Linked DNA regions of Daphnia pulex. The protein of the gene in region 1 purifies or fractionates together with the protein of each later gene. This does not show direct contact. Links are inferred from orthologs where the notes say so. Each region holds a gene or a part of one and is shown in the gene's direction. Other genes may lie near its edges.

Evidence for each region. The genes of interacting proteins can lie anywhere in the genome.
Region 2: the proteins of cryptochrome-1-like (region 1) and F-box/LRR-repeat protein 15-like purify together in Drosophila melanogaster (affinity purification with western blotting; 5 studies listed by BioGRID). This does not show direct contact. The link is inferred for Daphnia pulex from reciprocal best matches to the Drosophila melanogaster genes cry and jet.

The regions. Positions count from the first base shown.
Region 1 is NC_060023.1:8,042,254-8,046,003, reverse strand, and holds cryptochrome-1-like, read left to right. Parts: upstream 1-801; 5' UTR 802-1,009; intron 1,010-1,046; exon of another isoform or gene 1,047-1,091; 5' UTR 1,092-1,114; coding exon 1,115-1,232; intron 1,233-1,293; coding exon 1,294-1,509; intron 1,510-1,573; coding exon 1,574-1,692; intron 1,693-1,761; coding exon 1,762-1,866; intron 1,867-1,939; coding exon 1,940-2,181; intron 2,182-2,259; coding exon 2,260-2,522; intron 2,523-2,593; coding exon 2,594-2,935; intron 2,936-3,013; coding exon 3,014-3,186; 3' UTR 3,187-3,438; downstream 3,439-3,750. Other genes in the region: uncharacterized protein LOC124197701, read left to right, coding at 68-304. UniProt on the Drosophila melanogaster protein: Blue light-dependent regulator that is the input of the circadian feedback loop. Has no photolyase activity for cyclobutane pyrimidine dimers or 6-4 photoproducts.
Region 2 is NC_060021.1:8,691,672-8,694,519, reverse strand, and holds F-box/LRR-repeat protein 15-like, read left to right. Parts: upstream 1-1,125; coding exon 1,126-1,311; intron 1,312-1,375; coding exon 1,376-1,549; intron 1,550-1,639; coding exon 1,640-1,729; intron 1,730-1,794; coding exon 1,795-1,865; intron 1,866-1,934; coding exon 1,935-2,066; intron 2,067-2,140; coding exon 2,141-2,318; downstream 2,319-2,848. Other genes in the region: trypsin-1-like, read right to left, coding at 1-37, 106-259, 340-463.

The DNA.
Region 1 (3,750 bases):
TTTGAATGAGAAATTCTCTCCTTTGGTTTGTTAACACTTGGCTTAAATTTTTGTCTTTAATTTGTAGGGAGCCCATGGAGCTGCAGGATCTTTTCGTTTGTTCAATCCACAAAAAGATGAAATAGATATTGTTACTAAGAATAATGTACCGCCCGAACAATTCGACCTTCCAACTGACAAGAAAGCCAAATTGGCCGCCTCAACTTCTTCTGCTAAGAAGTCGCCTGTCGTGAGCGTGAAAAATCCTGCACCTAAGAAGCAAAGGGCCTGCAAAGTCCTCGTCCCAGCCGAATGGTTTCCGTGAAATTTGATCCTACTGAATATCCATTGTATCCAATCATGTCAAATCCACCCGTCAATGAAGAAGTACAAGCTGAGCTGTCTAATCCACCCTTCAAAGAAGAAGTAAAAGCAGAGATGTCCCTTCCTGCAAACTAGTAAAGCTAATAACTTAAGAAGTTTTTTGATTTTTGTTTAAATTGATTAATTGTTCCCTCAAAGGATTCATAAGGATTTCATATTGTTAATTTCTTTTACAATGAATTCAGTTTTGTTCTTCTGGATTATACCATTGAGTTGTTAATCTTGCCTTTTTCATTATTTTAATCGAGTAAAGATGGAAAAAATGGTATGAATGAGAATTCGCGATTTGCGAGACTTGTAGCTTTAGCCTTTTTTTACTTAGGCATGTTTAGGCATGTTTAGGCATGTTTTCAAATTAAGCGCCGAACATTTGGGCCACTAACTACCTAGAGAACCTAGCGGCAGTGGTGCGAGTTAGAAACAAAAGTTGGCCACTTCTGTAGCATTTGGCTAGAGTTTCTCCTATGGGGTAGCTAGCCTGTAGGGTTCTAAGGTTATAAACTCTATTGACGGCCTTGTAAGTTTAGTTAAGGCCATGTGTTTTCTCTGCACGTCAGGCCTTACATTTTACGAGGCCGGTCCATTTTTGCGGCAAATGTCACAGGTTTCTTGATTATTGATGTTTCAATCAATGTTCGATAAACAGGTAAACAGGTTTCCGTGCGTCTTTTCCGGTTTTGTAGATAGTCAAACTGCGTAGTCGGATTCTCTTCATCACTCTTCTTTAGGCAGTGCTTACACATAGTTCAATATGAATGTATTATGGTTTCGACGAGGATTGAGGATTCACGACAATCCTGCACTTCTGTCTGCATTGGAAAATTCCAAGGATTTCATAGCACTGTTTGTATTTGACACAACATTTCAAGGTATTCTTTTGATACAAATTTGTTTTATTCAAACATTAGCTAAATATAAATTTACATATAGATCCTGGATACAAGCCGTACCATATGAATGGATTCTTGCTGGAATGCTTGCAAGATTTAAATGAAAGTCTTAAAAGTGTTGGGACCAAGCTACATGTTTTTCAAGGATGCCCGCTGGAAGTTTTTCGTCACCTGCACAATATTAAGCCCATTAACAAACTTTGCTTCATCCAGGATTGTGAGCCTATCTTTCATGAAAGAGACATTGCTGCAAAAAGTGAGATCTGATTTAGAAATGTTTACATTTTCACAAATATCTAAATTGTATGTGTTCTTTTCAGATTTTTGCTCGGAATTAGATATTGAAGTTTATGAACATGTTGCTCATACTCTGTGGGATCCTATGGATATTATAGCATCTAATGGTGGGACTCCACCTCTTACTTATGAAATGTTTGTGGTAATGTTTCACATAAATCAAGCAACTAGTACAATTTCTTAGTCGTCTTACCATGTTTTTATTTTTCAGCATGTTGCAATGTCAGTTGGAGATCCACCTAAACCAGTAGCTGATCCTGAATGGAAAGGTGTCAAATTTCTCACCCTAGAACCATTTGAATCCAACAGGTTTACTGTGAGTTTTCAGAAAAATGTAAAAACTGGATGTCTATGTATTTATCTAAATCTATAAATTATGACATACACAGCTATTTGGCGGAGTACCCACTCTAAGTCAAATTGGGGTACCAGAAAATCCGGTTGGTTGTCGTGGACGAAGAATTTTTGGTGGAGAAACTAACGCACTAAAACACTTCGCCATCAGATTGCAGGCCGAAGAAACCGCTTTCCGGAGTGGCTTCTATCAGCCAAACCAAGCTCGACCTGATTTGCTTGGTCCACCATTATCGTTGAGCGCAGCTATCTCAGTGGGAGCTATCTCAGTCCGGCTGTAAATTTAATTTTGTTTCATTTATTTTCAATAGTTCTTCATTTATTTTCAATAATTATCCCTTTAAAAAATTTTCAGATTCTATTGGAAAATTCACGAAATTTTTGATAAAGTAAATCGAGGAAACCCTCCTGCTTGGCTGGGCATTACAGGCCAGATTATTTGGCGCGATTACTTCTATGCCATGAGCCGGATGAATCCCAAGTTCGATAAGGAAGTGGATAACCCCATCTGTTTACAAATTCCTTGGGTTGAAAACGAAGAGTTTTTTGAAAAATGGAAAAATGGTCAAACCGGATATCCTTTCATTGATGCTGGGATGAGGCAACTTAATCAAGAAGGTAAATGCTTTCATTTATGTGCACAAGTAGAATTTTTTTTCGAAATTCCGTTTTTTTTTTTTTTTTTTCAGGATGGATGCACCATTCCGTTCGCAATGCTGTAGCTATGTTTCTAACTCGTGGAGATTTGTGGCTCAATTGGGACATTGGCGCCGAGTACATGGCAAATCAACTGGTAGATTCCGACTGGTCAGTTAACTCTGGCAACTGGATGTGGGTGTCAAGCTCAGCTTTTGAGCGCTTACTCGATTGCTCTGTCTGTATCAATTCGGTATTATATGGCAAGCGACTGGAGCCATCAGGAGACTACATTCGTAGATACGTTCCGGAGTTAGCCAACTTTGAATTCGAGTATATTCACGAGCCATGGAAGGCTCCCATTAATATTCAGCGTACTGCCAATTGTATAATAGGTTTGTGTAGCGTATACTGTTATAAAAAGTTGTATTGTAGATTAGGTTTTTTATCCGATACTCTCTTTCCCCTTACAGGCCAAGATTACCCTGCTCGAATGGTGGTTCACGAAGAGGTGTTACCTCGAAATCTGGAATGGATGAAGGAATTTCGTCAAAAATTTAAAGAAACTCCTGCTCACTGCCAGCCTTCGTCCAATAGCGAAGTATATAAATTTTTCTGTCTGCCAGATGACAGTCTCCCTTTCTGAACAAATATCCATATCTCAAATTCTGGAGTCTATCTTTTGAATTGACAATTATTTCGAAAGATTTAATCGGGAGGAGCTTATTTAGACAATTCGATCAAATAAATGTATTGGTGTAATTCGTCAAATGGCCATAGGACATATTTTCATGCGTAAAGTCGTCCAAATTAAGAATCTATTTATTTGATACTTATTGTTGTGTTGTAATTTGTTATATGTGGTTGTAATACGGACATAGGTGTTTCAAAAATCTTGTGTACTGACTGATAATTTGGAGCAGTTAAATTTTTTGTCACTTTTTGGCGTTCCATATCAGACTGGCTGTTCTTGAGCAATATAGTATCTTCTGCGTCGGCGTCACTAACGTCATCGTCCGTTCCCGGTCGCTTCGTTAAGATCATGCGGTCAGCCCCGCCCAGTTTTGAAAGAATGGAATTTACTCTAGCTATTGATACGCAAACAGATGTATAGATATGTATTTTATTACTGGTATAGTAGTTGACCACGATTCGCCACGAAAGCTGCGCGAGAAGAGTAGCCATTGCCAATGATCGTGAACGGTTTTTT
Region 2 (2,848 bases), on another chromosome or scaffold:
ATTTGTGGTGTTAAAGACAATGAACAAGTTATCAGAGCTGTGAAAATTCGAAGACTAATGAACTTTTTTTTTCTTTTTTTTTCTTTTTCATTTAGTTCTGCTTACGTGATGTACATTTTTTGGTAAACACAGTGTGCTGCCGTGATAGCCCATTGGCTATTAATGATCGCTCCTCCACAAAAATGAGACATTGTCCTTTGCCGGTCTTGTCCGCTTACGGCCAACGATAGCTGCAAGGATATTTGCCACGTCACCTCTCCTACAGTTCCCGATTAAGAACAGTGTAAAGGACAATGCATATCGGATAAAATTGACTATAAATGTGTTGGAATAAAATACCATCTCTGACTTCTTCACCGTTGACGATACGTGTTGGACGAAGTGCTGGTGCATCCGCAATGGAAGCTGTATCTACTCGTGTCGCGTAATTCCATAGGAGGAAAATGAAAATGAAACGGCACATCACGACTTGGGTTACCTGATCCTAGATTTGCAGTGGCTTGGCGGAATGTCGCCGTCTGTATAAATGTATGTGTGGATTGACTGACCAAATGAAGTTCTCTCACTGTTTTTTTTTTTTTTTTTTAGATGTATGTTTAATCATGATTGGTCGCAACGTTGAATACAAGTTCTGTTTCCCCTATTTTCTCGTTTTCATTCCCGGCAATCATGTGCACTATCGTGACGTACATCCAACATGTGGTCCGACCACATTGATAGATTCACAGCTGTTTAAATATCCTTGTCATTGCCAGTATTTTGTACGCAGCTGTTTTATCAATAACGTATTCAATGAACGTTGAACCTACCGGCGCAATTGCTGCGCAAATGACACTCGCAAATGAAATTTCGAATGCGCGGAGTTTCTTGTAAACATTTAGGCCGCTAGAGGGCTTCGCCGTTTAATCCATCCCGACTCCCGAGTTTTAGTAGATGTTTCCACTATTTCCGACGTTTAGTGAAATGAAGGTCGCAATGTTTATGTGCGCAAGCAGTGTGTGTCTGTGATTCATAGAATCATAATCATAGTTGGTTCCTGATTGCTGAATGTAGGCCTAAATTTAATCACAGTGTGTTTGTTGGGAATTGGGCAATTGGCGAATGAAAGAAAACATCCAATTACAAATGCATCTCCTGGATTTGCCGGGGGATGACGTTATTTTGAAAATCATAGATTATCTGTCACCTCAGGACTGGCTAAACTTTCGATGTGTTAGTAAACAAACCTATTTCCTAGTCCATGAATATTTCAAATATATGAAATATCTTGATCTTTCTCATCACAAAGTGTTACCACAAGCCCTATGTCAGGTTCGTTGTGGTTAGTTTTACCAACTATTAAATCATAATTTAAATTATTATTCTTAAATTACAGGTTTTACCTCAGCTATGTCACAGCCTAAAAGTTTTTAAAATATCTAATTCAAAGATATTCAATGATGAATGCATTAAGACCATCATACAAAATAATCACAATTTGAATCACCTGGACTTGTCAAATAGTAACCTTAAAAATGGAACTCTCCAGCCACTTGTGGTCAACTGTAAAGTAATTAAGTTAACTATATTAGTCAACTCCTATTGCTCTTATGTGCTCCATCACAATTGTCTAATTGGGTAACATTTGATTTCATTTCAGAAACTAGAGAAAATTTTGTTGAAGAATTGTGTTTGGTTAACTGTTGGAGCCATTGAAATTTTAGCCTTCCATTTTCCAGATACAATCAAGGTTTTGTGTCAATGAATATACAGCATATTTGAAGGTTATGATGTATACTTACTTAATACTTACAGGTAGCTGACTTTAGTGGCTGCACAGGCATAAGTGAGGCTTCAATCATCCTATTTGTAAAACGACAGCCAAAGTATCAAACATAAAAATTTAATTATGAAATAAGATGCAATATTAAAATTTGTTTCTATAATATTAACAGATTGACATCACTGTCCCTGAGTGATCTCTCTTGTCTGCAGGATGAAACATTAGTTAAGATTTCTCAGTTTTGCCCACAACTTATGTATCTTGACATAAGTAGATGTTGCAGAATCACAGACTCTGGGATCAAGTAGGTTTTAATTTTTGTAGGCCTCTGTAAAAGATTGATTTTTCAGTTGAAAATGTATTATATTTTGTTTTTAGAAAGTTTGCTGAATATTGCCACACCGTGCGCACGCTGAAGGTGGATGGTTGTGAGGTCAGCGAGCGTAGTTTGTCTTGGTTGAGATCACGTGGTGTTTGGATTGACAAACCTCAATATCCTTCTTACCTGTTGCACCGCCTGAATCAAATTCAAACCTGGCCACGGACTCAGCTGTGAAAATTCTTCAACGGGATCTTCTGTACATTCCTTCTTTTCTAAGTATTATTATTCTATAGCCCAATTACCTAGTCTCAATGTCTATAATGTAAAATGACATTTCCCCCCTTCTTTTATGTCAATGAAAAAGCGATATCTACCTCACTTGGTAGACAGCCACCGCCATTTCATTAGCTACTGTGTTAATCCTAGCACTAAGAATATCCTTCTCTAAATTTCCATTGGCGCTCTTATCGAAGTCGACTTATTCTTATCCTCTTCTTTCTCTTAATTTTTATAGTTCTTCTCCCCTAAATGGCTCTGGGGAGAAGTTTTGAAACAGCTGAGTTCTGTCATCCTTGCCCAATGTTGATTGTACAACTTCCGTGTTGGCATAATCATGAATTCTAAAATTCTAGATTTCCACCCCTATCGGACGATTACGTGTTTCGTTTTAATCGTGAATGATGAACCAGGCAGTTATTTTTAGATAATGCCGCGTTAAATTTGGGTTGGTTTTTTTCTTTCTGTCTTACAACACGTAATAATAA